Callithrix jacchus: one gene and its partners. The protein of the gene in region 4 interacts with the protein of the main gene of each other region in a pairwise test. Links are inferred from orthologs where the notes say so. Each region holds a gene or a part of one and is shown on either strand. Other genes may lie near its edges. The genes, in order: TRAIP, tripartite motif-containing protein 5, SIAH1, UBE2K, DTX3, RNF138 and RNF32.

Evidence for each region.
Region 1: the proteins of UBE2K (region 4) and TRAIP interact in binary tests that used the Homo sapiens proteins (3 or more experiments, as listed by UniProt). The link is inferred for Callithrix jacchus from reciprocal best matches to the Homo sapiens genes UBE2K and TRAIP.
Region 2: the proteins of UBE2K (region 4) and tripartite motif-containing protein 5 interact in binary tests that used the Homo sapiens proteins (3 or more experiments, as listed by UniProt). The link is inferred for Callithrix jacchus from reciprocal best matches to the Homo sapiens genes UBE2K and TRIM5.
Region 3: the proteins of UBE2K (region 4) and SIAH1 interact in binary tests that used the Homo sapiens proteins (3 or more experiments, as listed by UniProt). The link is inferred for Callithrix jacchus from reciprocal best matches to the Homo sapiens genes UBE2K and SIAH1.
Region 5: the proteins of UBE2K (region 4) and DTX3 interact in binary tests that used the Homo sapiens proteins (3 or more experiments, as listed by UniProt). The link is inferred for Callithrix jacchus from reciprocal best matches to the Homo sapiens genes UBE2K and DTX3.
Region 6: the proteins of UBE2K (region 4) and RNF138 interact in binary tests that used the Homo sapiens proteins (3 or more experiments, as listed by UniProt). The link is inferred for Callithrix jacchus from reciprocal best matches to the Homo sapiens genes UBE2K and RNF138.
Region 7: the proteins of UBE2K (region 4) and RNF32 interact in binary tests that used the Homo sapiens proteins (3 or more experiments, as listed by UniProt). The link is inferred for Callithrix jacchus from reciprocal best matches to the Homo sapiens genes UBE2K and RNF32.

The regions. Positions count from the first base shown.
Region 1 is NC_133516.1:32,452,203-32,456,126, forward strand, and holds part of TRAIP (E3 ubiquitin-protein ligase TRAIP), read right to left. Parts: intron 2,605-3,924; coding exon 2,565-2,604; intron 1,969-2,564; coding exon 1,841-1,968; intron 595-1,840; coding exon 500-594; intron 1-499. UniProt on the Homo sapiens protein: E3 ubiquitin ligase required to protect genome stability in response to replication stress.
Region 2 is NC_133511.1:71,270,640-71,274,992, forward strand, and holds the start of tripartite motif-containing protein 5, read right to left. Parts: upstream 2,995-4,353; 5' UTR 2,807-2,994; intron 1-2,806.
Region 3 is NC_133521.1:6,077,473-6,082,083, forward strand, and holds the start of SIAH1 (E3 ubiquitin-protein ligase SIAH1), read right to left. Parts: upstream 2,922-4,611; 5' UTR 2,460-2,921; coding exon of another isoform or gene 2,369-2,459; 5' UTR 2,289-2,368; coding exon of another isoform or gene 2,258-2,288; 5' UTR 2,190-2,257; coding exon 2,009-2,189; intron 1-2,008. UniProt on the Homo sapiens protein: E3 ubiquitin-protein ligase that mediates ubiquitination and subsequent proteasomal degradation of target proteins.
Region 4 is NC_133504.1:154,118,590-154,123,175, reverse strand, and holds the start of UBE2K (ubiquitin-conjugating enzyme E2 K), read left to right. Parts: upstream 1-1,692; 5' UTR 1,693-1,881; coding exon 1,882-1,944; intron 1,945-4,586. UniProt on the Homo sapiens protein: Accepts ubiquitin from the E1 complex and catalyzes its covalent attachment to other proteins. In vitro, in the presence or in the absence of BRCA1-BARD1 E3 ubiquitin-protein ligase complex, catalyzes the synthesis of 'Lys-48'-linked polyubiquitin chains.
Region 5 is NC_133510.1:62,091,353-62,095,727, reverse strand, and holds the start of DTX3 (putative E3 ubiquitin-protein ligase DTX3), read left to right. Parts: upstream 1-1,359; 5' UTR 1,360-1,386; intron 1,387-2,282; exon of another isoform or gene 2,283-2,557; intron 2,558-2,717; 5' UTR 2,718-2,780; intron 2,781-2,970; 5' UTR 2,971-3,017; coding exon 3,018-3,046; intron 3,047-3,383; coding exon of another isoform or gene 3,384-3,402; coding exon 3,403-4,132; intron 4,133-4,375. UniProt on the Homo sapiens protein: Regulator of Notch signaling, a signaling pathway involved in cell-cell communications that regulates a broad spectrum of cell-fate determinations.
Region 6 is NC_133514.1:75,214,585-75,218,508, forward strand, and holds part of RNF138 (E3 ubiquitin-protein ligase RNF138), read left to right. Parts: exon of another isoform or gene 1-76; intron 77-2,322; coding exon 2,323-2,430; intron 2,431-3,924. UniProt on the Homo sapiens protein: E3 ubiquitin-protein ligase involved in DNA damage response by promoting DNA resection and homologous recombination.
Region 7 is NC_133512.1:91,573,847-91,577,770, reverse strand, and holds part of RNF32 (RING finger protein 32), read left to right. Parts: exon of another isoform or gene 1-73; coding exon 74-198; exon of another isoform or gene 199-407; coding exon 408-516; exon of another isoform or gene 517-1,038; coding exon of another isoform or gene 1,039-1,128; exon of another isoform or gene 1,129-3,924. UniProt on the Homo sapiens protein: May play a role in sperm formation.

The DNA of each region.
Region 1 (3,924 bases), on a different chromosome or scaffold from region 4:
AAACACACCCAGCCCACGGCATTTGCAATCTGGAGGCTGATGGGTACATACCCAATGCAGCTCTGCTTTCCTTTGCTGCTGTTGCTAAGGTAACAGCCTAGGCTGCTAGGATGCTTTAGCAGGTGGGTGTGCCCAAGGAAAGGCTCCACAGCAGAGATGAGCATAGTTCCAAGGATGCTGCTGAGAAAGAACAGGTGCTGACAGAGGGTCTCAAGGTCAGGGATTTCCTGGAGAGAGGTTCCTAAAGGGAAAGATCCCACCACGTCATCTGGCCACCAGCAACAGACAGGGAGAAATGTGGCAAGAGCCCCCATGGAAAGTGCAAGTTCATATAGGCTAAGATCTGTGCCCACACCCAGCTGACCTGAGCCCTCCATGGCCTATGCAGATTTGAACCTCAGACATGACATAATTGCACTCCCTGCTACAGTCCTAAGAACTGTACCACTTGCAGGTCCTGGGGTCAAAGGCATGGCGCAAGACCCAGCTCCAAACTTACTGTTCCATGGTCTTCATCTTGCTCCTGAGTTGGCGGGCCTCCTCTCGAGCTTGTTTGGTCTCATCCTGTTGCTGCTCCAAGTACTTCATCTGCTTCTGAAGAGCAAATACACCCATATCCGTTGCTTGGAGGCCCTCAGGAGCCATTGCTAAAGTCACTAGGAAACTCTGCTCCAGAACTTTCTACACCTTATGTTTTGAAAATGCTGATAACCATGTGCTCCCAAACCCCAGGAGGTAAAGCTCTTGGGCCCCACTCTTGCTTGTGCTTCTTCTGCTAAAAGGCTCTAAGCCAGCTGCTTCCTCATCTCCCTGCCTGCTTCCCCTGAAAGGTGTCTTACAGTAGGCACAGCCCATTGCCAGCATTTACAGGCTTGCTGTGGGCTGCCAAGGTCCAGTGGTCTGGGCCTCATGGTGTATGTTGTGCAGGTGGCTGAAGTCCAGAGAACAAACCCAGGCCTCACTATCACCCAGACCCATGGATGGTTGGCAGGAATGGAGAACTAAGGCAGGGGAAGCTGGCCAGGCTGCCTTCAGTCTAAGACCACTTTGTCTCTGACCTGAGAATACCATTAGAGACTCCTGCTCTGCAGCCAGGTGCTAGTTTCTCCCTCCCACAAGCCAGACCATGTGATCCAGCCCAGCCCCTAAGCAGGAACACAGACAATGAATATCCTGGGGCCTTGTCTGTTCACAAGGATGGCTCCCTTTCCCTTTCAAATGGCATCCAGCAAGGACTGCTCCTGCCTACAAGGCCAGAATATCAATCATGGGTTCAGATCAATCGCTTCTCATGCCCCTTGGAGAGCAAGAAGCTCACCAACCCAGGCTGATGCAAAATTCATCTGGGTCTAGAGCTGTTCACTCTGCAGGCTTTGATCTGCCCGGTTAGCTCGGCACAGCTGACTTCAAAGGCCCTTGCTCCTCCCTAGGATGCTGTTTGATCTGGCTCAGGAGAGCAGCCCAGCCAAGGACTGGAGTGCTAATGGAAGCTTCTTCAAGCTGGCCTCATCAGTAGAGTATGAACCACTTTTGGAAACATGGAGCAGCCTCACTGAGGTCTTAGTTGAACATCCCCCCTGTGAGGTACTGGGAGGGCCTTGCCTCTCCAAACTACCTAATACAAAATCCACAAGTACAGCCAATATGGCCCTTTTCTTATGGGATGGATGGGTACAATATGGGAGGGCAAGAGGAAGAAGTGATTTGCTTCTATTTTACAACTGCCCAAACCAAGGTATTGACTGTAGCAGAACTAGAAGATAAGTCTAGAATGGGGAGCCCAGTTCTGGGGCAATCTTTCTTCCCACTAATTCTGTACCCATAAAACCTGAGGACCTACTTTCAGTGTGGAGCACAGCATCTCAGCCTTGTCCAAGGCCTGCTGCAGAGATTCCACAGTAGCATTGCGTTCTTCCAGCATGTCCCGCAGAGAGTCGACAATGAGCTGGGTGTCCCGTTTCTCCTTCTCTGGAGCAGGGGTAGAGGGTGGGGGAAAGGGAAAGTCCTGTCCATTCATCAGCATGAGAACTTGGGCCCTTGGGCTTCAGTGCCTCATCCCTTAGGAAGGTGAGAAACAAGGCTCAGGCCAGAAAGCTGGGTGGCACACTTCTTTCTATGGGATGTGCCAAACCAGAGAAGCTAAGCCAGAGCCTTCATTCAGGGAAAAGTCCACTTTCTGCTGCTTGAACTACTTAGGAAAATATTTTACTGCCCACACCTCACCCACCACAGGTCTAGTTAGTTTATCATGCTAGGATTCAAGCAGCCAAACTCAGCAGCTGAGCCCTCTCCCAAAGATATTCTGTCCCATTAGGTAGACCTCTCCCATCTTGGTTCCTAGGCAAGAAGCTGCACTCAGAGACAAGAGGCTCACCTGGTCTAGGTGAACAGCTTCAGTCACCTCCCTTTCCTGCCAGCCACAAGAGCTAGCAGGACTCTTGGACATACAAAGCAGGGAAAGGCCCTGGCTCTGCCAAATTGTTTGAGACCTTCCTCCTAGGGCCCCCTCTCTCCAGCATCCAAGTCAGGGACTTCCCAGCACTCCTTGTCTCTTGCTAACTTACCTTTCTGGGAAAGCTGGGCTCTGATATTATCCAGTTCATTCTGCAAGGCAATACCCACAATAAGCAACAGGAAAGCATCACAGCTGACCTCCAGGTAGCCTCCTATAAGGCTGTTGGGAGCTCTAGGATTTAACAACGAGACCTTCTAGGCATGAATCCTGCTGTACCTCAAGGCCAAGTTAAGCTAACAATGGAGAGATAAGCACTGCTTTAGCTCTATGTGCCCTTTTGAAAAGTAGGTAAAATGGAGGAAAATAATCTCAGGAGCAAGGCCCCAGGACAGGGAAAACGTAGAATAGTGGAAGGGAAGTAAGGTTGGGCCCCTGTGATCAGTTTCCATAGCACTTCTATTGCTTCCTTGGCCTCATTGCTCTGTGCTAGTCTTGTTCCCTCTGGGCATCAGCTGCCTCACCAGTGACACACAATAGGAATGTCCACTCTGGGTCTTCCTGATTCATAGTCTACTTTCCTCCAAACTCCAAACTGGCTCTGCGGACTACAGACCTTCCAGCCCCAGGATCCAATAGAGGTAGGTGTGCCAGGACAACTTTGTACCCCTGGATGAAACTTCCCATGTGTCTAACTAGCCTCTAACTAGACTGTTGTGAGGATCAAGTGAGCCTCTCAAAGCCCTTGCAAATGTTGCAGAGCCATGCCACAGAATCACTGAGAAGCTATGGCAGAACTGAACCCAGTTCCTATTCAGGAGGCCAGAGAACTCAACATCTCCATGAGCAAGTGAAGTGCATGCTCCATAACAAGGAAAACCAAGGTTATATAGAACTGAAACGTTTGACCAAGGGTACATGGTGGTAGCTAGATGGAATCCAGGCAAACCTTAATCTAGATCACCCATCTAAGGTCAACAGAAGACTCAGAATTTCACATGTGACCAAGAGTATGGCCTAGACCCAGTGGGTAAACAAGTCCCTGCTATCAAACTCTCCACCCAGGACTCTGGAGGCAGGAGCTTCTGGTGGCTGGGCTGGTTAGTATAGGCTGAACAGCTGGGAATGGAAGTGGTGGGTAAGGAGGGGCACGCAGGGGCTGCCTAAGAACAGATACCAGGCCATGGCTGCTGCACCACTACCCATAGTCCCCTGGCTTCTTCCACACTCCAGCAGGGGCTTCCAAGCCCTCGCTCCAAACTAACTAAGATGTTGCTACCTATCTCACAAACTTGGCTTGAAAACTGTAAATAAATCAAACTGCCTTTGCTGCTTTCATCACAGGGAAGACACTACTTAAAACGGGGAGCAGTTACCATGACAATGAACATGCTTTCTGTAAGCACAAAAGCTCCATGTTCCTGAAGCAGTGAGGTTCCAAGGATATCATGACACCCTAGGGCCAGAGCCAA
Region 2 (4,353 bases), on a different chromosome or scaffold from region 4:
TCAAGGGCAGAGTTTACAAAATATCTTTAGCAATGATCTTGAGAGCAGATCAGGAAGGGTCGAAATCTTGTAGCCTCCAGCTGCATGACTCATAAGCCATGGTGTCTAATCTCATGGCTAGTTTCTTGGTCTGGTCCCCAGGCAAGAAGGAAGTATATCTTAAGAAGGGGCTGTTATCATATCTGTTTTAGAGTATAAACTGTAAACCAGGCTTCTCCCAAAGTTGGTTCAGCCTATACTCAAGGGATGGGCAAGGACAGCTTGAGGGCTGGAAAGAAAATGGAGTTGTTTGGATTGGATCTCTTCCACTGTCTCAGTCACAATTTTGCAATGACAGTTTCAAAAGCTGTCCATCACTCCTTTGAAAATACCTTGTTCATCTGTGGTTCATTCACAACCTAACTAAGGTTTGTTGCTTTCACCTGTGAGGTTATTTTCTACAACGTTCAAAAGCCAAAAATCTTAACTGCTTGGCATGGCTGAAGTCAAGTAACAAGAGATTTAAAAGGATTTTCTTAAAGAGCTCTCAGCCTAATTATAAGTGGATATTCAAGTTACAGGTATATTTAAAAGGCCTTTTTCTCTTCTTGGATCTTGTTTTTCTGGAAAAAGTTTCTTTTTCTTCTCAGTTGACTGAATTATTTTTCTCCTGAATTATAGGTATATTTAAAAGGCCTTTTTCTCTTCTTGGATCTTGTTTTTCTGGAAAAAGGTTCTTTTTCTTCTCAGTTGACTGAATTATTTTTCTCCTGAATTATAGGTATATTTAAAAGGCCTTTTTCTCTTCTTGGATCTTGTTTTTCTGGAAAAAGGTTCTTCTTCTTGTCAGTTGACTGAATTATTTTTCTCCTTTTTTTTGGTCTTACCATGCTTAATGCATGCATGAGAGGCCCTAAAATAACTCCTGGTAGCATGGGACTGCTTGGGAAAAAACAGAGACGGCACCACAGACACCGTTTTGGGAAAAAAAAAATCTCTGTCTTCCTCATGAACCCCCCCAAATTTAACAGCAGATAGGCTCTCAAAATCAAAGGCTGTGTTCTGTTAGGCATTGTGTTATCTACCATTTTAAGTTTTGGGGGTATCAAATTACTTCACATTATGAGAGAGCCTTGGTGTGCAACAACTAGGTAGGAAATACACTGCAAGGGATGTCTAACAGTAGTTATAAGTCGGAGAAGCATACTCTCGGCCACCTAAAAAATATGGAAACATCCCCACCCCCCACTAAGAAATAAGACTCCCATAGTGGGGTGGGCTAATTACAAAATAAGCCAATTGGCTTTGTGTTGCCTTGTAATGAAACACACAGTAAAAGCAGAACACCGTCTTCTCCCATAGTATCTGCCTCCTTTCGGGACCCAAAATCCAGTATAATGTGGCACTCTTAATTTTAGGGACCTGACTTTGCCTTCAGCTGTGCCTGCTTTTTAGGCCCTAAATATGCATGCTACCTGGTCCTAGTCCTCCAAGGGCTCTATCCTAAAGCCAGTAATCCAATTAAAAAACTGGCAAATAAAAAAATCATACAAGTGCTGAATCTTCTGTCTGTATTCCTATATATGTGTTGTTTACAATGTCTATAAAAAGAGCTCTAATTAATTGGCTTAAGGAAAATTAAGCACATACATCAAATTTTGTTTGGTTCATGTAATTTTAAGAAATAAAAATTGTCTTAAGGATTATTGGTAAAATGCAAGTGCTGTCAAAATGCAAACAGGTGGTCTAAATCATACAACTTAGATACTAGGTTTGCTAAATGTTCCAAGGTTATGTACTGCCGGCTTTATAAATAGTCCTAGGACACATGGAGCTAGATGCTGAAAAGTCAGACTTTATCTGTGCTTCCGTCTGGGTCCTAGGAACCACATCTGGTACCTAATTAAAATTGCTTACAAACCAGGTTTCTTAACGAAAAATAAAAGTTGCTAAAAGTTAACAGTGCAACATGTATTTGAGATCACTAAACAGTTTTATGTGCAAGGCATATAAAAACAGTAAAATATATTTTTTAGTGAAAGATTGGAAGAAAGCATAGAAATGTAAATTTTGCCCTGGGATGAGGGATGTCAAATTTGATAAGATAGAGCTAGAAATTTAAGCAAGTTATAGAAAGATTGTAAAAAATAATCTTGCAAAAAAATGCGTAAGCATTAACTAAACTCAAAATAGCATTATATGGTCTTTTCATAAATTGAGGACCGAAATAAAAGCACAGCAGGGAGTTCTGAAGAGACTAATTTGCCTGTTAGTAAAAGGGTTATAAAAGGTTTGTAAAGATTTCACCTCATGCTCAAATTGGTTAAGATTAGATGAAACGAACTATAGGATTTCATTTAAACAAATTGGGGCTAACTTTAATAAATCAATGCAAGGGTAAAATTTGGCTTTAAACAGGATTATCATGTCATAGTGTAGGTTAATGAAAGGCTTTTGCCTTTTGAGTCATTTGGAAAAAAATTAATTTATATCAATTTTATAACATCAAGTGTTTTAAACCTGTAACATTTAACAGATGTACCAAAATCAAACTTCAAGCTTCAAAATTGTCTTTTCTAATGCCTGGCTTTTTGGATGGTTCAGAGGGCCCCTGAAACATTCATAATGGAAGTAAACAGGATTACTTAATAGAGAGTCAGCCCGGAAAAATAACCAGCCTTCCAGGAAACAAAGTCTTTCACTTTAAAGCTCTCCCTTCTTTCAAAGCTGCCCGCAGCACTGTTCCCATTAGTCAACCCTGGCAGCAGAAAGTCTGTGAACTGTCTTTTCCCCACCCCAGAACAGCTTTTAGGTAAGTTAAACTCACCAAAGCAAATTCAGTTTTGTCTGAAAGACTTCCTACTTTTGCCCTCCACAAACCACTCAATACACCTTCAGACACCAGTACAGAAGTGGTGATTCCGGGGAGAAGAGTGAAGGCAGGCCAGGGAAGAAAGATATGGTTAGGATTCACTCACCAATCCAGGGGCCTGATCTGCTCAAAGTAGTCTTTCTAAGAGGAGCTGCAGGAAATTCTTGCTCACATCCTGGGCAGAAAAGTGAAAGACAAAATATTGGGCCAATGGCATTTCGCCACGTAATGCCTGGTGAATCCCACCCTCTGAATGAGTCAGCCTGCTGTGTAGTTGTGCCATTCACAGGAGGAGCCATGGAAAATAGAGGCATCCCCACTCTATGTCCCTTTTCTCTTGAGTCTCAGGATCTTATTATCACTCCACTTCTTTTTGACATAGTCTCAGATTAACCCAACCAAATATTAAAAATTAGAAAATGTGCCCTTTACTGAAATTCTTCCAATGTGCTCCTCTTGTTCCTGATCTCACGTCTGGGTTCTGCTTCTGGGTGATAGATATGCCACAAAGAGAAGGAAGAGCAAGGTTAATGATTTTTAGAGAATTGCAGTAGGTTTCTGGTCTGGACGTAAAAACCTCATAGGACCTATGAACAGAAAAGGAGCTACAGATAAGACAGATGTCATATTATGAAGGCCCCCAAACCCAGAGAGGGGACAGAATGCTAGAAATTTATCTGGAGAGCCATGAAGAAATACCACATTATTACGCTGACTGCAGTTCAACCACTAACTTTTCAAAGAACTCTCCAACTTCCCCGTTTGTTTTGTTTGTTTGTTGTTTGTTTTGAGATGGAGTCTCACTCTGTCACCCAGGCTGGAGTGCAATGGCACAATCTCTGCTTACTGCAACCTCTGCCTCTCGGGTTCAAGCCATTCTCCTGCCTCAGCCTCCTGAGTAGCTGGGATTACAAACACCCACCACCACACCTGGCTAACTTTTGTATTTTTAGTAGAGACGGGGTTTTACCATGTTGGTCAGGATGGTCTCAAACTCTTGACCTCCTGATCTGCCTGCCAGCCTCCCAAAGTGCTGGGATTATAGGCGTGAGCCACCGCACCTGCCCCCCCACCCCCTGTTATTTTTTTAATTGCATTTTAGGTTTTGGGGTACATGTGCAGAACATGCAAGACATTTGCATAGGTACACACATGGCAGTGTGTTTTGCTGCCTTCCTCCCCTCACCCACATTTGACATTTCTCCCCAGGCTATCCCTCCCCAGCTCCCCACCCCCCCGCTGTCCCTCCCCTCTTCCCCCCAATAGACCCCAGTGTTTGGTACTCCCTTCCCTGTGTCCATGTGTTCTCATTTTTCATCACCCACCTATGAGTGAGAATATGCAGTATTTCATTTTCTGTTCTTGTGTCAGTTTGCTGAGAATCATGTTCTCCAGATTCATCCATGTCCCTACAAAGGAAACAAACTCATCATTTTTGATTGCTGCATAATATTCCATAGTGTATATGTGCCACATTTTCCCAATCCAGTCTATCATCGATG
Region 3 (4,611 bases), on a different chromosome or scaffold from region 4:
TCGAATCCATTTTGATAGTACTCTCTCCTCTGAGATTCCCTTACTCTATTTCATTCCAATTCTGAGTCAGCTGTTGATAGGCACAAGGAGTTACAGGTAAGATCCTGTGTAAAATCGGCACTCTGTAACCACAGAATCTGCATCTGAGGACTTCACCAGCCATGGATTGAAAACATTCAGAAAAATTTTAAAATAATACAAAATTTTTAAAATAAAACATATATAACTATTTACCAGCCATGGATTGAAAATATTCAGAAAAATTTTAAAATAATACAAAATTTTTAAAATAAAACATATATAACAACTATTTACCTATTATTTACATTGTATTAAGTGTAAGTAATCCAGAGATAAATTATACAGGAGAATATGCACAGGTTATATACAAATATGATAACATGTTCTATCAGAGACTTGAACATCCTCAGGTTTTGGTATGGGGAAGGGGATCCTGGAACTAATCTTCCGAGGATACCACGGGATGAGTGTAGTTCAAATGCCTTCCATTAACTCTTCTTAATGGTGAGCAGTTACCTACTCTAGAGGTGTAATTTAGGAATGAGGGGAGGGATCACAAGGGGAAAGATCTGCTGCCATCCCCTTTATCTATCAATCTGCCCCCCAAATTATCATCAGCCAGGTATTGATCTTCTTTCCTACTGATCAGTGCCCACCTCAAGAGTGAGGGGATGTACTCTCTAGTGAAGGTAGCAAAAATATAAAAATAAATAAAAACACAGCAAAAGTGAAGGGAGACGTGGGAGAAATGGAGAGCCATCTCAAATAAAACTTTTTGGTGTCGTAGAGAAAGCATATCTTTCTCTATTTGCAATCCACAATATAAATCAGACATAATGAACAAAGAAGGAGAGTCAGGGAGAAACTGAACAGGGGAAGAATACAGATAGCACGGCAGAGACACACCACACTGGGAGTGGGGGATGGAGTCAACAGGTGTAGAACCCCTTAGCCTAGGGTTCTCCAGCGTTGTTTAAACATTCATCAGCAGACTAATCAACATTATTTGACAGATAAATGTCATCTGGAAGAAATGATCGACAATGTAACTAGTCAGGCTGAGTCAAAGATAAAACAAGTAACTCATCCCAAAGAGCTCCCTGGGCTGGGATATAGGAGGCCACTATTTGTCTTGGGGGTGAAAAAATAGATCGGTCGATGTCCTAAGAATACACTCCTAGTAACTATACTAAGCCATATTCTTACAAAGTTAAAGCCTTAAAGTTAATGTTTTATCTCAATTATAGTCATTATTCTGTTGCAAGAAACTTTTGAGAAACAATGTTAGTTACCAATATGACCAAGTAAATGCAACTTGGGTTCTAGATTACTCAGGTGGTTACCAACTGATACCTTAAATGAAGGCTGAGGGTGAAGGAAAAATAAAGATTAATTCCACATCACTAAAGATATATTTTAAAGTTCAAGAGGCAACAAAAGTGACAATTCCATCATAATGTGTCTCATCATATAGACTCAGATCATGAATCAACTCTCATCTGAAGCCCTGTGTAACCCAGGTGTTCTGTACCCTGACAAAAGGACTGTAAAGGAACTCTCCTGTAATCCGGTTTCCCTGAGTGGATTCTTTGTACATACGATGATCCATACATTTTATGTCACTTGTAAAACAGTGGGCTCAGCATTGCCAAAACATCCTGGCTGTATGCTGTATGCCTACTGCATGGTCCAGTTTATGCTGCTTACTGAATTAACAGCATAACAATTAGAAAGTGTTTCCTTGGGCACAAAACAGTCTAGGCAACCAATACCTTTCAAATTACCAAACCAAACCAGAGAATCACATCCAAGGGCAGTAAACTCAGTTTATATTTAACACAACACAGCTACAGACCAATCAAAACATTATTTTTCAATTTCTTGACCTAGCAGTAGTTATACATTTATCATCAACAGTTCAGGCTCACATTACAATATATCTTTATCATTTTCCAAACACTGTAATAAAGCAGATTTTAACTCTTACTCAAAGTGTGAAAACCGAAATGGGAACAGGATTTCTTGTAAATGGAGGTATACAGGACAGCAACTGCTAAAGCCTCTCCAAGCTCCAAAGGTGCTACCCAGCTCCATCTTGAAACAGAAAAGGAATCCCAACCACACAGCCGCCCTGCAGTAGGAACCAAGGACAGCCCTGCAGAAGTCATGACGTAACCTGAAGTTTGATTTAAACAGAAAAAAAGCACAACAGCCCAAATGAAACATGACTGCTAACCTAGGAAACAGCTCGATTCTGCTGCAGCCATTCCGTAAGCCAGGCAGGTTCCACTGACTAACAGCGTTCAAGTTTCACAGCCTCAGCAACCCATCCTGTTAATGTCAATACCTTTTCTCTTCCTTGTCCTAGTCGCCGGTAAACATGTGAACAAGACTCCCCTCCAGGAGTAAAGAGAAGGTGGAATAGGCTTTCCCGTCATGAGAACTCAGGCAGCTCACTGCCTTTTCCAAGAAGTAAAGGTACAGGACCCTCCTGGGCACTTTCTGCTCCTAAACACAAAAGACCCAAATTGGCGTCTGAGGTCAGGATCCAAATATCGTTTCACTTCTCAGAAGCACCAGTTACAGAGGTGGAGAAAGAAAGCCTTTCCATCCCCAGGAGGCAACCACACCTCCCCGTGAGCTCAAATTCGGCTGCATCTCCGAAAATGGGAGCCACAGCTGCGCTGTCCTCCACCATGCCCTAAGCCTTCGTCTGTCTCCCAAGTTTGTCTTCTCCAGATTCACTGGGTAGGCTCCTGCTCGGCTCTGGTGGAGGGGTGACCCGCTGGCTGAGAAGGAAGTACGCTCCCTGAGCCAGCTCAGGGGCTACTGCAGGAGCCCGCCTGCCGGGAGAGCCATTTGGAGCCTCGGCCAGCTGGGGATGGGCCTGCGCCGGGAACGCCCGCTCCAACCAGGAGAGCCAAGGGCCAGTCCAGGGCGCGCAGCGTGCAGGGCGGTGCCCGTCTCGCTCGCGCAGAGGTGGGGCCGTGCCCGCAAGCCCCGCCCCACAACCCAGGGCGGGGCCGCGGGACCCCGCAGCTCTGACCCCGTGCCACCCCGCCATGGACCCCACCCCGCCATGGACCGCATACCACCGCACCCCAGCGACATCGAGCCTTCCTCAGCATTTCCACCAGTTTAAAGTTAGGTGGAACCATGCCGTTTTCGGTGTGTCAGAACAGTCTCATATCAGGAGTTTCTTACGGTTTCAATCTAAGAGCTACAGCGTATCTTGAAATGCGTGGCCACACTGGCGCTCCGCTCTACGTTTATCCGAACTCTAAAATTTTGGAGTGAAAACATTCTCCCTAATTCATTCAACAGCTATTTACTGGCATCAACTACTAATTTCCTCAATTCTAGCTCACTTCACTTCTCCTATCGGTAATGTATTTTAAATTCCCCTTCCCCGCTGCGAAAACACTTTGCAGGAAAAGTAGTAAGCATACTTCTGCCACATTAAACTCCTACTTAAACCTCCTAAGAGAGTATACTCTCTTCCCACTCTGGGAAAGCCATCTTAAATGGCCTCATTAAACGCAGAGTAGCTTGTTTTGTTTTTAAACAAGCATTACCCTTGCCCCAATAAAGTCCTGGGCCTCAGATTTGCATTGCATCAGCTAGTGCGTGCAGAGGTTTAACCTGTCATTACATCATGCTTAGGGCAGCCTCTAAATGCAGCAAGAGCTGGCAGAGAGGAATCAACCCAATGTAGGGAATTGCAGATTACCCACTTTCAGCAAGAAATTTTAACTCTAACCACTTCCTCACTCTATTAACAGTGTGTTCAATCACCTCAACCTCATTTTACAATATAGGCTACACAAAAGAGTATTAGGAAAAGAAATATGATTGAAAATAAATACAGTCTACCCCACAGACAAGTTTTTTGTTTTGTTGTTGTTGTTTTTGAGACAGGGTCTCACTCTTGCCCAGGTCTGAGTGCAGTGGCACAATCTCCACTCACTGCAGCCTCGGTCTTTTGGGCTCAAGCAATCCCCTCCCACCTGAATCTCCCCAATCACTAGGCACCACCGTCTTCGGCTAATTTTCTTTATATTTTTGGTAAAGACAGGGATTCCCCATGTTGCCCAGGCTGGTCTCAAACTCCTGGCCTGACACTATCCACCTGTCATGCCTTCCAAAGTGCTGGCCTACAGGCGTGAGCCACTATGCCCAGTCTGTATTTTTATTTTCTAACATTTATTCATTCAACAGATCTTAAGTTTCCCTAGAGCAGAAAACTTCAAATATTTTAGATGGAGAAACTCTTCCAAGCAGAATCACAAAATAACCAAAATGTATACAACAAAAAGATGACTATTTCTCAAGCAAAAGATATTTCACTGTTAGCCAAACTCCAAAAGATGTGTACAAAGCCTTGCAGCACAGTCTGAAAACCACTGATCTATGGACAGGCCCCTCCACTTAATTAAGTCAGAAAAACAAAAGCATTCTACAGTCATCTACACTTGGATTCAAACCCAGGCTCCACCACTTGTTCAGCTGTAAAACTGGACTGTTTCCAGCCTTATGTGGCTTTTGTCTAGATTGAGGTGGGTAATTTATGTGTATCATGGGTGGTATATT
Region 4 (4,586 bases):
TTGGTACCTGGGGCAGGAGTTTAAGAAATTCTCTTTTGCCTTATGCCGCCACTGATTCACCTCCATTGGCTATTTCCGTATTTGGTGCCACAATTATAATTACTTTTGCTAAGACCATGTGTTTGTGATATTTTTAAAATAAGATATTTTATTGGTTGGCTAGGTGAAGGCAGTACATGAAGTATAAACTTCTAAAATAACATCTTTATTACTCATTCTAAAATGTTCTATTCAAAGTGTTTCTCAGTACCATATCATTATTACTATGAGCCTTAGAAACCACTCTAAAAAAAAAAAATTATTATTATCTTTAGAGATGGAACTTCACCATGGGGCCCAGGCTGGTGTCCAACTCCTGGGCTCAAGCGATCTGCCACCATCGGCCGCCCAAAGTGCTGGGATTACAGCACTGAGCCACCGTGCCCGACCAGAAACCACTTTCAAACTGACTTTCCACTTAAAGTATTTTGCACTTTTTGTTCTGTTTTGTTTGAGACAGATCTGTCGCCCAGGCTGGAGTGCAGTGGCCCGATATCGCTCACTGCAACCTCTGTCCCCGGGGTTCAAGCGATTCTCCTGCCTCAGCCTCCAGAGTAGCTGGGATTGCAGGCGCCCGCCACCATGTCTGGCTGATTTTTGTATTTTTAGTAGAGACGGGGTTTTACCATGTTGGCCAGTCTTGGTCTCGAACTCCTGACCTCAAGCGATCCGCCGTGGCAGCCAAAACATTTTACTCTTACGTGTACTCATTTATTCATTCAATATTTATTGAGTGCCTACTAGCACCAGGCACCTTTGTAGGCCTAGGTTTACAGAAGTAAAGCTCCCCTCCCCCACCCCCAGTGCCCTGAAAAGCACTATAATTGTTTCTATTTCTCCAATTTTCACTTTTATATGAATTTTCACATGCTTTAGTTCAGACATGGGCACAAGAATGAGTGAGAGAGAGAGTGTGTCTTGGGGCCATCCTACACTCTAGGGATGGGCACAGGAGTGAGTGTGTATAGGAGTGGGAGTATGTGCTCGCGCGCGCGAGTGTGTGTGTGTGTGTGTGTGTGTATCAAGCTCTGTATTATCTAAATAGGTCAAAGATCAACATCTGGCTTCTAGATCCATCATCAGGCCTCTCCACGTAATACCTGTCTCAAACCGGATCTGATTCAACAATAACCAGCCTTAATTCAATAATCTGTGCTACCTGAGATGGTGGGAATAATCTTGGTACTATAAATGTTGCAGAACAAAAACGACTGCAGCGGATTTTCTGGGGCTACACCAACTGAAAATGGGCCGGATCGAGTTCCGGGAGAGCGTTTTCCTGCACTAGACGTTTTCCCGCACCCGGCGTTCAGCCACCGGGTTCCGGGTCTAGCTGAGTCAGGAAGGCGCTCCAGCCGATTGCGGCCTCGGGAACCGTTCGGTTGCACCCGAACCTTCGGTCAGAGTCCAGGGGTTGGCAGCCCGGACCACAGCACCCGGGTTTAAACAGAAGTGGAGGCGCCGGGGAGGACCGGCGGTCCCGGCCAGTTTGGAAGGCGCACCCTCCCGGCTCCAGACGCCGGCAGGGCGGAGTCAAGCGGCCGCAGCCCCAGTCGAGACGCGCGCTCGTGGCTCGGGCGAATGGGGGCTACAACGGGAGCGGCTGCGCCGCCCGGCCGGGTCAGCATCATGCGCATGCGCGGACCCGGCGCCATTTTGGTGGCCGGGCGCGGAGGTGATTCCACACTGAGGAGAGCGCGGTGGCCGGGGTGGTAGTGGCAGTGTTCGTGTGCTCGGGTCTGAATCGCTGAGGGAGGAGGCGGTGGAGGAAGAGGTGGCGGCGGTGGCGGTGGTCGTAGCGGTGGCGGAGGAGGCGGGTACGAATCAGCTGCGGGCGGAGACATGGCCAACATCGCGGTGCAGCGAATCAAGCGGGAGTTCAAGGAGGTGCTGAAGAGCGAGGAGGTCAGAAATGAACTCCCGGACATCCCCCACCTCTGCCCGGGCGGGAGGGTCCTCCCAGCGTGACCCCGATATCCCCGGTAGTCCCTGGGTGGCCCTCCTTGCGGCCGCCCTTCTGCCTGTGGGGAAGCAGTAGTGCTCCCCTCCTCCTTCCGCCGCCTTCCCCTCCCCTCCCACAGCGCTAGGATGGACGGTCTCGGCGGGCGGGGGGTCTGGGGTGGAACACAGTTTGGGGAACTGATGGACAGGGGGGAACTCCTCGGCGGGATGGAAGCTCACGAGAGAACCCGAGGCGGTGGCCACAGCTGGAAGTGTGGCTCTGGGGTGGGGAGGGAGCAGGCCGAGCCCGAGAAAACCCGGGAAGTGGGTTGGGGGAAGGGGAAAGGTGGTAACTGTATCCGGAGGAGCCGGTGCTGCTCTAAGGCCCACACTTTTGAGGATATTCTGGGTTATTGCCTGTCAGGCCGTCACCGTCCTTTTCTTAGGGAAGGAGCGGTGAGTCCTTAGGTATCGATTAAAAAGGAAGGACATTCAGAGTTAGTCCTTCTTAGTTGGGTGTTAGGAGTCAAGGGGAGAATAATAGAATACTGTCTTATTCGGTGGCAGGGATAAGGGAATTTTCACCTCTGTTAGCAAGTTAATTCCAAATGAGATCGTTATGTCTTTTCCACTTTACCCCCAAATTCCTAGGCCTCGTCTTTATCGACATCTCAGTCTTTGAGTGGGCAAAGGCAAGGTGTTTGGTGTATTAAAGACATTTAAATATTTTTAGTTAGAAAAAAAATGGAATGTAAGAGTAGCTTATTTCAAAATATTGTTTACAAGTTACAGATCAGAGAGACTGTCCTAATACAGTACCTCTGTGACTAGTGTTGTGCCACGAAACTTCATTATGATGTCCCTCATAGTTAACTTGATTCTTACTTTTGAAAAGTAGACCTATTAAAAACGTGTGCTTTTACCAGATTAATACACTGTTTTATCTCTTTATTGAGTAGATTTATCACGATATAGCAGATTTTCAAAAAAATTGCCTCCCGTTGCTCTTAAATCCTGCAGAATTTAGATATATTAGTACGTTTAAGTAAGATATTCACAATGCTCTAGTAATTTGACTCAGAATTACATAAGTATTAGTACAGTTTTTCATACCAAAAATCAACAAGAATACCAGATTGCCTTCCCCACAAGGATTAAACAAAAAGTAATACAGAAAATGGTTATTTTCAAGATTCACGTACCATTATTGAATATATCGTTGCTTTTGTGTTTTTTCTTTTACGGTTAGTACTTCGATAATGTCGATAGTGATTAGTGAAATTCAGCATTCTAAGTATGTGATGAGTAGACATGAAGAAAAAATTGTTTAAAATTCAAAAATGACAAATAGGCTTCTTGAAAGTAGTAGTATGTAAGTCATGATCAGTTTTACAGAGCATGTGTATGAACTCTGACCTCTGTTCATATGCCAAAACTCTGAATGGAAGGATGACTTTGTATTTTGTGGTACAGTGCAGAAACAGAGTCATAAGTGTTTGTATTGATAACAGTGAAACAGCAATTTTAACTTAATATGAAAATGTATTCCAGGATATTTGACATATATACTTCTAATGGAAGATAGCAGCTAATATTGTTGCCAACAACCTAAAACATTTCTTGTTTAATAAGGTTGTAGAAGCTTGAAACTTAATAGACTTTTAATGCTTTATTTTCTATTACTGAAAAGTGGTAAGTTACTACTCTAGTAATTTATATGGTCTCTGCTTTTTATGAGCTGACTTCACCGTGGTATTCTTAGTACTTAACTTGAAGATTACCAGAAATACTTGTATTGCTCTCTAGTAATGCATATTGTTAAAATAACACTGCTCATTATACATAAGGGATGATGGTTTACTTCAAATAAGTATCATAAGCGTTTCAGAAGAAGAAAATAGGGACGACAAACTTTTTTTTTTTTTGAGAACAGTACCTATAGAAATATGGAAAGAAACTTCTTCTAGGAAAATAAGTTGCAAAGAACATTTAGGAAAAGTTCACATCACTTAATCTTGGAATAAATATAACCAATAAATAGCTTATTTTCACCATTATTTTTTGACATTTTAGTGTCCCAGATCTATAAGTAGATTGTTATTTTCAACTCATTGAAGGACTTGTAGTACAGTCCATGTGTTTCCTTTTTAAGGGTGTAAATCCAGTCTTTTGAATGGCTGATCAAATAACTATTTCATCATGTCACTTTTTTGGTAAATCTGCACTTTACCAAAGTTTATTTCATATGCTTGTGTGCTTGTGTTTAGTAAGAACACTGGTTGATTTAAGGACTTTTTGGGGTGGCCTTTTAAGTGTCTTTGTAGAGATAGCTGACGCTTGTTGGATTGTGGTGGCCATTCTTAGAGTGTGTTAATTAAAATACAGCCAACAAGATAAATGTGAAAAGCAAGATACAGAATAGTGTGGGAGAGGCCACCATTTGTTTCAAATGGAGGGGAATATGTGTATTTGCCTGTGCAGGTAAAAGGTTTCATGAGAAATTGGAAAAATTGACTGCTTTCTGTGTAGGGGAATTGGGTCTCTGGGGCATGGGGAGTAGATATTTTTTGAATTATGTGTCATATGAACGTGATTTACTCAAAAAA
Region 5 (4,375 bases), on a different chromosome or scaffold from region 4:
TAAGGGTGCAGAAACCAGCTGAAGAATTTTGGTGTTCAAGGTGTTGAGCCCCTAACTAAGGATGTGGGTTTCTAGACAGATGGCTGTGAACTTTTTTGAAAAGGCTGTGAAGTGTGTGCACGGAAATGGAAAGCTTAGTTTTTAGCCTTGTGGCAGGTCAGCGGTAGTGAGGGCCAGGGAAGAGTAGGGTGATGGGACCCTTCCTCTTCGCAGAGTTCTGGGCTTGGCTAACACTCCATTTTGGCAAAGGTGAGTGGGCCTCTCAGCCCACCTGCTAAAAGAAAAGGAATTCAGTACTCCACCCCCCACCGACTTCCTGGGAAAGCTGTCCTCTTCCTGGAGGGAAGGAAGAGTACAGCTGCAGCAGGGTCCTGGGAAAGTGAAGAAAGTGACCAGCCCTCCAGTCTAGAGGGGGAATGAAAAAGGGGTGGATGAATAGAGGTTGTTGCCAGTTTGGGAGATTCCTGTCTTGGCTGAGAAAGTCTTTTGGCTGGTGGAAAAACCTGGCTTGATGTGGCTGGCCTCAGGGAAGTGAGTTGGATTGGGGGCGGAGACTGCTTGAAGTGGGAAGCAGAGCAGAGCTTTTTTTCTTTGAGAGTTTTTAACTCTATTTGAACCATACACTTGACACAACCACCACCCCAAGCCACTTTTTAAAAAATGTATTCACTTCCCATTCTGCACCAGCCTCCATATCCGTTTGTGGAAAGAGAAAATCGGAGGCACTTACCAATGACCATCTGAGAGCACGTTGTGGGGGTCACAGGAGGTAACAATCTAGAAAGAGGCAGGAGATGAGGGAGGGGATTGAAATAGTTTAGTACCGGGATTTGTTTATTTTTTAGAACCAATGCTTTTCTTTTTACTATGACTCTCCCCAACCCACATTGTTCCTCAAAGGCCCTTCTACCACAAGGATTCAAAAAATTGCCGCCCTCCCCCCTCCGAATCCCCATATACCCACCAACACTTCACCCACCCATCCACCACCAGCTCCCGGGAGCTGCTACGCAGCTGGCTGGGAAAGAAAAGGGAGAGTGCTCTGCTGGGAGGCGGGAGCGAGAAGGGTGGCGTCTCCAGGGATTTAACCTCCTACCCTCAGTTCCGTGACGCCACCCCCTCCCTCCAAAGAGTGGGACAGCTCCTCCATTTTTGTTCTGGGGAGGAAGAGCAGGGGCTTGCGGATAGAAGGGGGTCAAAGGGAACGGTGATTATCACCTGTGAGGGGAAAGGGGGTGCTGTCCTCCCTCCTTCCCTTTCCATCAGCCTGCACCCCCTGCAACCCCCCACCTTCTCGGGGTCTCCCCCCCCTTGTTGCTAAGGCCCGGACCGTCATCCCAGCAACAGCCTCAGTCATGTGACCGGCAATGGCGGCGCTGACGAGAGGTAGGTGAGCCCGGCGCCCCCCACACCCACCGCGCGCCCCCCAGGCCCCGCTAGCACCCCTCACACGCCCCCCGCTCCCCCGGCACCCCCTCTTCCCCCACCCCTCCCCGTACGCGGCTCTGGGCCCCCAGCTCCGGGCCCGGGCGATCATCTTTCTAGCACCCTCCAGCCTTGGCCTCTATTCGGGGATTCTGAGAGCTGCGATCGGGCCGACCTGCACCCCCACCCGGGGGTGGGGATCCGGGGGCTTCGGCGAGTGAGAGATGTGGGGAGTTGGTTCCGGGTCGGGTGTTGGAGGAGGCCTTGGGGGGAGGGCTGGAGCGGCCTCAGTGGATGCCCCCAGGGACCCTTGCCCTTCCCGGCTGTCCCTCCCTCCGGCCTGGGTCTGGAGGGAGACTGGTCCCTTGTCCGGCCTGGGTTGCCACGGAGGAATCACAGACCCACCCTAAACTGTGGCCCCGCCTCCCTTTTCTATGCCAGCAGGACTTGGAGCTAGGACACCTAGGTCCTGGGTCCCCTGTGATGAGACGGGAGGTGTTGCATCGCGGGTAGACTGTATGGGCTGAAGATCTAGTGTTCCATTTTCACTTTATGAATCTCAAGGTGCCTCTGGCCTTTGGGGATGATGATAGAAACATGAAGGGACAGCTGCTCCTTTTTTGGATCAGTCAATAAATGGAGGTCACACTTATGGCCCCTCTTTCTGTTTGAGCTGCATTGGGAGGTGTTGTGGGGACAGCACTGTAGCCCAATGCGACCAGACTCTGGGGAAACATCAGGCCTCTCCAGCTGAGCCCTTGTGTGAGCCCCGCCCCTCCCTAAATACCAGACTAGGGAGCTGACAGACAGCCCTGCCTGTGCTGGGTTTAAAAGGTGACAATGAGAACTTTGTTATTGTGGGGGCTGCTGCCACTTCGTTCACCTCTTTAACAGACTTCAGCGGAAGGGACTGAGTTAGCTCTCAAGGAAGGCTCCCTGGCAATAGGGGCTGAATTATTTGGGAATATGGAGCAGCGCAAGGAATTGGGAACACAGGAAATACTCCAGTTCATGTGATCTGAGGGAGGCGTCAGGAAGACCTCCACCTGTGTGGGCTTTTTCTTTCCTGGCTTCTCTTATGTGTGCCCTAGGCTTTCTTGGGGGCCTCAGAGCTGGGGAAGAAAGGAGGAAGGTTAGCATGTTGAAGTTCCTTCTTGAGCAACCTGGGGAGAAGCTGAGGATGGAATTCTGCAGAGGATAGAGGAAATGGAAGGGGAGTTTTTATTTCTGGGTTGGCTGAGGGAAATGGTAACATTTGCCATCATAACTTTTTACCCTTCCCCCACTCCCAGGCCTGGTCAGCTGAGTGGAAATAGAAGGATTTCTGCTGCCATCATCTTCCATGGGCTTTCCAGGTACCTCCCCAACAAGGGATCCTCAATGTTCACCCTGAAACTGGTTTCCTTCATTCCGTGTTCCAAGTAATCCCATTCCCAGTAACCTATGCCCAGGTTTCTGTCTCTGTTCCATGGGCTGCTAGGTTGGGGGCCAGGGGATTTGGGAGAAGGGGTTTCTCACTTTCCTTCCTTTTTTCCGCCCTGCCAGGTCACACGACCTACAAGTAGGGAGCAGGGAAAAAAGAGTGAGCCTGCATGCCAATTCTAAGCTCTTCGGGATCAAAGTAAGCAAAAAGGAGGGGCAAAAAATCTCCCTCCCCTTTAAAGAGCCCATTTTTCCCTCAGAGGTGGGAGGGGCAAATTGTCTCTACGATCTGGGAGAAATGACAGGAGAAACAAGACTGATGCTTGGTTTAGATGATAATACAGTTCTGGAAACTTGCTTGGTCTTCAGTGGGCTTTGGAAGATAAAGGGAGATAGAATATGAATTTGGGGGAAGGGTTGGGGATTAGGCTTTGAGAAACAGGTAATAGGGGGTTTGGAAAGAATCTGAAGTAGGAGGCACTGATACTTGTCAAATGGGGACCCCCCACCCTGAGTCCCTTTCACCCTGGGGGCAGTGTCGTTCGTCCTGTCCAGAATGGCAGCCTGTGGAGGCACCTGCAAGAACAAAGTGACTGTCTCCAAGCCTGTGTGGGACTTCCTGAGCAAGGAGACCCCAGCCCGGCTGGCCCGGCTTCGGGAGGAGCACCGTGTGTCCATCCTTATAGATGGCGAGACTTCTGACATCTATGTTCTCCAGCTTTCCCCACAGGGCCCTCCCCCGGCCCCTCCCAATGGGCTCTACCTAGCCCGGAAGGCTCTCAAGGGGCTGCTAAAAGAGGCAGAGAAAGAGCTGAAGAAAGCTCAGAGGCAGGGGGAGCTGATGGGCTGCCTGGCTCTGGGGGGTGGAGGGGAGCACCCTGAGATGCACCGCCCAGGCCCACCCCCTCTCCGAGCAGCCCCACTTCTGCCCCCAGGGGCTCGGGGGCTCCCCCCTCCTCCTCCCCCACTGCCCCCACCTCTTCCTCCTCGCCTTCGGGAGGAGGCAGAAGAGCAGGAGAGCACCTGCCCCATCTGTCTGGGGGAGATCCAGAACGCCAAGACATTGGAGAAGTGCCGGCATTCATTCTGCGAGGGCTGCATCACCCGGGCTCTGCAGGTGAAAAAAGCCTGCCCCATGTGTGGCCGCTTCTATGGGCAGCTGGTGGGCAACCAGCCCCAGAATGGGCGGATGCTGGTCTCTAAGGACGCCACCCTCCTACTGCCCAGCTACGAGAAGTACGGCACCATCGTCATCCAGTACGTCTTCCCGCCCGGTGTCCAAGGGGTAAGAAGACCATGTCCTGCCCTTATCCTTTGGCTTCCCCAGCCTCTGACCTAGGAAAACTGGGTGAGGGTATGTGCTTGTTAGAAGTGAGACAGTCTTGTTGTCTTCCTCTGTGCCCTCCTACTCGGTGCCCTGGAGCTAGGAGGTCCTGGTGAGGCCCAGCTTTTCCATCCCTGTGATCCTAAGGTACACATAAAAATCAGATATGAGCTAGGAAAAAAAACACACATCAGATATGAGAGA
Region 6 (3,924 bases), on a different chromosome or scaffold from region 4:
GCACTTTGGGAGGCAGAGGCAGGCGGATCACTTGAGGTCAGGAGTTTGAGACCAGCCTGGCTAACATGGTGAAACCCTGTCTCAAAAAAAAAAAAAGAAAAAGAAAATGGTGAGAGCTTTTTGATAATGAGGGAGAAAGAACAGAATGCAGTATTCCAATATTTAATGATCCTAGAAGCGTTTCACAGGTAAGTTATTTGAAATGAATGGAACAGGAGAAACTGAGCTGGGAGAGATTTCCCTTTCAGCTGAACATTTTGTTATATAAATATTGTTTTCGGAAGGAAAAATAGGAAGAGAAATGTTATCAATAAGAACTATAGATATTTCTAAGCTATTTTATTGAATATGCTAGGAAAAGTTGTGAAAGAATATGCTTCAAGACCAGGTACAATGGCTCACAGCTATAATTCCAGCCCTTTGGGCGGCCGAGGTTGGGGGATCACTTGACCTCAGGAGTTTGAGACCAACCTGGCCAACATGGTGAGACCCTGTCTATTTAAAAAAAAAAAAAAGAATATGCTTCAGTAACCCTTAAGGATGACCTTAAACTCTCACATACCACATAGAATGGGTTCAGTTATACTTAATAAACAAGTACAATGCCAAAGAAGTCTCTGGGAAATCTCTCTCATATTTAAGATTTTATTGGCCAGGCGTGGTGGCTCATGCCTGTAATCCAAGTACTCTGGAGGCCAAGGCGGGCGGATCACCTGAGGTCGGGAGTTCAAGATCAGCCTGACCAACATGGTGAAACCCCGTCTTTATTTATAAAAAAAAAATTTAAGATATTAAAAAAAAGATTTTATTTACTTTTATATTAGATTACCAAATTCTTACTCATTTCTGCATAATATTTGATATGTCATACTTTGGCCAGAGTTCAGTTACTAAAGTGTGTGTGTGTGTGTTTGTGTGTCTGTGATTTTAGTTATGTAAGACATTCACATTTTTTTTTGAGACGGAGTTTTGCTCTTATTGCCCAGGCTGGAGTGCAATTGCAATGGCGCAGTCTCGGCTCACTGCAACCTCTGCTTCCTGGGTTCAAGCAATTCTCCTGCCTTAGCCTCCTGAGTAGCTGGGACTACAGACATGCACCACTATGCCCAGCTAATTTTTGTATTTTTAGTAGAGACAGTGTTTCACCATGTTGACCAGGATGGTCTCGATCTCTTGACCTCGTGATCTGCCCGCCTTGGTCTCCCAAAGTGCTGGGATTATAGGCGTGAGCCACCTCGCCCGGCCTTACATTCACTTTTTAAGATGTATTTCATTTAAAATTAAGGATATGGCTGGGTATGGTGGCACACGCCTTTAATCTCAGCACTTTGGGAGGCCAAGGTGCGAGGATTGCTTGAGCCTAGGAGTTTGAGACCCAGCCTAGACAACAGCGAGACCTTGTCTCTATTTTTAAAAAATGAAACCAGGTACATTGGCTCACGCCTGGAATCCCAGCACTTTGGGAGGCTGAGCAGGCGGATCATGAGGTCAAGAGATCGAGACCGTCCTGGTCAACATAGTGAAACCCCACCTCTACTAAAAATTCAAAGATTAGCTGGGCGTGGTGGCATGCGCCTGTAGTACCAGCTACTTGGAAGGCTGAGGCAGGAGAATTGCTTGAACCTGGGAGGTGGAGGTTGAAGTGAGCCGAGATCCTGCCACTGCATTCCAGCCTGCGAGACTCTGTCTCAAAAAAATAAATTAAAAATAATGAAAAACTAATATTTAATTTTCCAGTTTACTTCATTTTTATTTTACTTATAAATGAAATAAAGCTCATAATAATTATATGATTATTGTACAGATCAAAATGAGATAATATATTGGGTATGTTGCAGGCAGCCAGTGATAACTGTCATTACAGTTAGTATTATTAAAAGCTAGATGTGCTGTTTCTGTTGAAACATTTGTGTAATAAGAGATTTAAGGAATATCCTGAAATACCACAGGTGGGATTAAAAAAACAGAGAGATTTAAGGAATAGAATGTCCTAAGATCTCTCTTACTGTGTTAATGTCATTTATTTAAAGTAATTGATTGGGAAATTATCTAGTAATGGAATTTGGCTTTTAAAAATGCTTCTCGGCTGGGCGTGGTGGCTCACGCCTGTAATCCAAGCACTTTGGAGGCCAAGGTGGGTGGATCACCTAAGGTCAGGAGTTCAAGACCAGCCTGACCAACATGGTGAAACCCCATCTTAAAAAAAAAAAAATTTCTCACATAGGTGTTTTTGGTAATGTACGTCTGTGTTATTTTAATACTCTCAATTGTATTATATTTTGTTTTTCTTATTTTTTGTTTAAAACAATCTGTTTCTTATAGACATGTCCCATTTGTGTGTCTCTTCCTTGGGGAGATCCTCGCCAGATAACTAGAAATTTTGTTAGTCATCTAAATCAAAGACATCAGTTTGATTATGGAGAATTTGTGGTAAGTGAATTCTTCAAGATTAGGAAAGTACCGTTTAACTATTCAAGTTAAGTAACTTTTTGGAATCTAACTTTGAATTTTGTGGCAAGCTATTTTGTCTTACTTGATGGATTTAGTGCAAGTTCTTTGGTTTTTAATAATATTGGTGAACTTTAGCTTGTAGAAACGGTAAAAATTGAGTTTATTTATTAACTCTCTCTCTGTACTAGAGAGAGAGTTAACAGTGGAACAGCAAGCACCTAGATTAACAAAATGATGATTTACATGAATATACTGTCTAGATTTAAGAGAAAATTGTACCTACAAGAAAAGTGAAATTGGTAGAACATATGGAGGATATATTTCTCATGTAGTGTAAGTTGCTTGTATCTATGCTAGAAATCTTAGATTTCTCACATCTAAAATGTAAGATACATCCTTTTTAAAAATGAGGAAGCTTAGTTATCAGGCAAAGCCAGGTTACAAAGGAGAATATTTAAGAGTGTAAGGGAAGTTATATAATGTAAAAATGAATTCGTAAAGCAAAATAGATTAATTTCTACTTCCAAATGTGTGTGATATAGTTTTTTAATTAGGTGAAAACTTAATTAATTCTGAAATTGCATATTATTCAACTTTAGTTTAATCAAAAACCCTATTTAAAATTAGTCCTGATAAAGAATGGCTATTTGTTTTCCAGTTTAGGTAAGCACAGTGATATGAACAAAATCTACATTTTTGTCTGCCTTCCATTGTTGGAATTACATCATTCTTGTTAAATGGTTTTAAAATTTTTTAGAATTTGCATTATTTAGCCTATTTCAAAATAATTAAAATATATGTAAAATTTAGGTGTGCTTTATTGTTTTAGCAATTTTAAGAAGTAGTTTTAGATTATTATTAAATTCTCATTGTGAGACAGATTTCTATGTCTAGACAAATGTATTTGGAAACACAAAGATTTGTAAACCACTTTTGATCTAATTGTCAAATTGTTTTTCCTTGCCATAGAGAAGTAGGTCATCAAATTATTTGAGATTGCCAAATTGAGGCCTTTAAAGCAAAACTCATGGGGCATAAAATTGATAGCAAATACAGTCTTTAAAATTAAGGATAAGTTTTATAACTTCATGTTATAGTTAACAATTTATTACTTGGCTGGATGCGATGGCTCACACCTGTAATCCCAGCATTTTGGGAGGCCGAGGCAGGCGGATCACCTGAGGTCAAGAGTTTGAGACCAGCCTGGCCAACATGGCGAAACCATGTCTCTACTAATTATACAAAAATCAGCTGGGTGTGGTGGTAGGTGCCTGTAATCCCAGCTACTCAGGAGGTGAGGCATGAGAATCACTTGAGACTGGGAGGTGGAGGTTGTGGTGAGCCAAGATTGCCCCACTGCACTTCAGCATGGGTGAGAGCCAAACACCATCACAAAAAAAAAAAGAGAATTTATTATTCAACTCATAATTCAATAAATGCATATTTTCTTAAAATCAGTTTACTGTCAGATAT
Region 7 (3,924 bases), on a different chromosome or scaffold from region 4:
ACTAACGTTGGAAGTAAAAATATTGTTTATAAGTAATTACTTATAACATTTTAAGTGAGATGTTTTTCCTCAGGCATGTCTTCAGGCTTTTGAAAAGTTCACAAATAAGAAAACCTGTCCTCTCTGTAGAAAGAACCAGTATCAAACCCGAGTGATACATGACGGGGCCCGCCTGTTCAGAATAAAGTGTGCAACCAGGTGAGGATGCCAGGCCCACGTGGCGCTAAGCAGACACACAGAGATCAAGCTGTGACAACTAATTTTTTAAAATACTGGCATTGTCTCTCTCTTCTTGGCCACCATAATTTCCCCAGGGCCTTGTACAGCACAGGCTTATAACAACTACTGAAGTGTTGGTTGACATAGGATCATCATAAATTAGTCATTTTCAAATATCTGTGTTGTAGAATCCAAGCCTGCTGGAGAGGACACGTCGTTAGAAAGTGGTACCAAAACCTGAGGAAAACAGTACCTCCCACAGATGCCAAGTTAAGAAAAAAATTCTTTGAAAAAAAGGTAGGTAGAGATCATTAATTCTCCAGATACGGCCTCTGTGCGGGTGATTCACTTAGGGTCAGGACTGCTAACAGAGCTGGTAAAACTTTGAGACTTACTTCACTTTGAGGGCTTTTTAAAAATGGTCGAGATGCTGCTTAAACCCCGTTAATTTAAATCCGCTTTCCAATCTAGATGGTAAAATACCTTTAGATTTTCTTTTCATAAAGAAAACTCATAAAATTAGGTTAAATCTAAGCAACTTCCATTTGGCCATTTTGTGCCAATTGTTTAAATAAACTTATCTCTTCAGACACAAGACTGAAACCAGCTTAATTTTTCCAGTCTCCTGGGTTATACATAAATGAAGACATCTGCTGTACCTCTCACAGTAATGAAAATGGAAGCCACCTATAAAAATAAAGCCCCCATCCATATGCTACCATTGTATTGAGTACCTCGTGGGGTCATCAAAATGAGCTTTAGTGCTAACTTCCATGTCTGCCCTTCCTCCTCACCACTATTTATGTTCTGTTTCAACAGTTCCCATTCCTTGTCCCCATACAAAATGGACAGTTCTACCCATCAGCCTGTAGCTTCAGGCAAACAGCGGCATCTCCAAGGCTGCCATAGGAGAGCCATCACTTCTTCCTGGCAGTGTTGGCCTGAGAAGAGCCATGTCATTTATAACAGCCTAGCACACCATGGGTGCTGGAAATTCTGTGTTTCTTATCAGTATTAACTCATTTCCTAGAGTATGGAAGTGAGTTACTGTGTGTTTGGCCAGTTTGTTCTTCCAGAGAGCCATGTCTCATCTTCAGAGTTCGCTCATCTCGGGTGTTGATTCTCAGTTTGGTAAAGGACCACCGTGCATGATTGCTTCATCCTGCCTTTACATTCTTTCCAGTTTCTTATCTTCAGTCGCTGACAGTCAGTCTTGTTCTCTGAGCAACTCTTGGTAATTTCTAATGTTATAATATGTTGTTTCTTTGATCAGAAGTTTGTTGTCACCTCTTATAAAATTTTAATTACAGATTTGATAGTCATTTTACCTTATGTATATAAATACTTTTCATGTGCCCACATCATCTTATAATAACTTTTGAAGCGAAAGGCCCACTGAGAGTGTAGGTAGTCTCGGCCCACTGAGAACTGGCCCAGATTGCTGGAAACAAGCAAAGTGACTGTTACCATGTGCCTTGTGCTAGCTGTAGAGTAGCCAGTGAAGGGTACATTTCAGGCTCAGTGCTCAGGTGTTCAGACACCACAGCCTTCAGCTTCATGGAAAAAGGAAAAGAAAAATAAGAAAAAGCAAGTGACCAGGAGCAATCAGGGCTGGGAGACCTGATCAGGCAGGCTCCTATTTCTAATTCAGTCTGTTCTGTAGACAAGGCAGATCCATAGCTCTGTCCCACCCGACATCTGGTCCGCAGCTCTGGGGCCATCCCACCTCCCCAAAAGTCCTGTTTTAATCCCTGGTTCATCTCGTCTGCTGCCCCCTCATCCTGAGCCCTCCTCACTCTGCACACCCTCCTCTGACCCCTGCGTCTGCTCTTCTGAGCACACTCACACTCCGCCTGCACGTCCTGCTGGCGTTCCTACTGGTTCCCTCTGCCTTGCTTAAAATGTGCCGGGTTTCCAAAGCCTAGTTTAAGCTTTCTTCCAATTTCTTTGGTCTTCTCTAAACCTTTATTGTATGTTTAAACAATGCCATTCAAGAGATCAAGAAGAAGAGAAGTATGAATGATATTCTAGCTTATATATTACAAATGTAATTTTTCCTTTGTGGCTTTTGAAGATGATCTCAGAAGATTTAAATAGCAAGTTCACTTAAGTTGAATATCTATGAGGAAACTGAGAAGCAAAACTGATTTTTTATTTTTGCAGGGGTGATGGGGAGATATATGTTGAGAGCAAATTGTACACATTATTTTTAACTTTAATTTAGAGACAGGGTTTCATTATATTGCCCAGGCTGGTCTCAAATTCCTGGGCTCAAGTGAACCTCCCACATCAGCCTCCCAGTTAGCTGGGATTACAGGCAAGAGCCACAGGCTAGGGCAGTGGCTTTCAAACTTTTCCTCAGCCACAATAAGAAATATCTTCTATACTGTGTTAACAGAAAAACCAAACTCGGTGAGGTATTTTAAAGAAGTTTATTCTGAGCTGATATGAGTGACTGCAGGTCAGGAAACCCCCTCTCAGGGAGTCCTGAGAAGGTGCACCCTGGGCAGTCGGATTACAGTTTGCTTTTACACATTATAGGGAGGTGGGAGTTACTGGCAAAGACAGAAATCACTACATGGAAGTGATACATTGGTTTGGTCAGAAAAGCATGATATATGGAAGCAGGAGCTTACAGACTGTAGGTGGATTCAGAGACTTGTAGTTGGTTAAAGGAATAGAGTTCTACCTAAATACTGGAGTCAGCAGAAGGGAACGTCTAAGTTGAGGGTGCTGTGTGGCAAGACTGATGGCCTGCGGCATGACTGTCCCTTGCTGGGCATCGACTTCGCCTTGTTTATACTTTGGTTTCTTACTGCCACAGTCTGTAGTCAGCCTTATCACCTCTTAACACGAATGCTGGTCACTTGAGCTTAAACTCCAGCAAGGAGCAGGCATAATGAAGGGGCTCTCATCTGTCTTCTCATCGTGGCTGGGAATTCCATTGCTAAGGTTTTCCTAGGGCCCCTTTGGCCAAGAGGGGGCTGGTCCTGTTGCTGGGGACCTTAGGATTTTATTTTTAGCTTATAGCAATGACCCACCACTTGTATATATTTAACAGAAACAAAATTTCACAAAGCAAGATCTACTTTTACCGCCGGCACCACACTGTGATTTTTATTCCATTTCATTTTCCAAGTGCTGGGCCTACTACATCAATGTTATGAGCCACCGATGGGTGGCAGATGGCAGCATGGCCGCAAATATCAATAACTGCCACCTTAAATATAATACGAGTGACTGTGTCATCTGACCGTTCAAGTCTCCTGTGCAGGGGGCAGGGGGGACAGGAGATGTACACACACATGCACACACATTCAGATCACAGTGAGATTTGTTACATGAATAGGCATCCTACAACTGCCTTAACTTCTAATTGTTCAATTGGGAAATCCAGGCATTCCCAGCTCTCTGCTAGTTCCCTAAATCTTCTCTACAGTTCCTTCATATCTTGTTCACTCTTGCTTACTTATCCCGTTAGGCCACAAACACTTGGGATCTGTAAAGTCAAATCTCAAGTTAAATAAACGAAGCCTGAGCTCACTCTACGGTGGTGTGTTAGCAGTCGGTAGTAGCCGTCTGTACTGAACTTCGTGTATGTGCAGTAGTAATAGTTGCCTGTCTGGGTGCATGCCCTGTATGCTTTTATGCCTATGCGAGCAGACCTCAAAGGCTGCCCTTGATGATAAAGAGCACTTCTTAGTC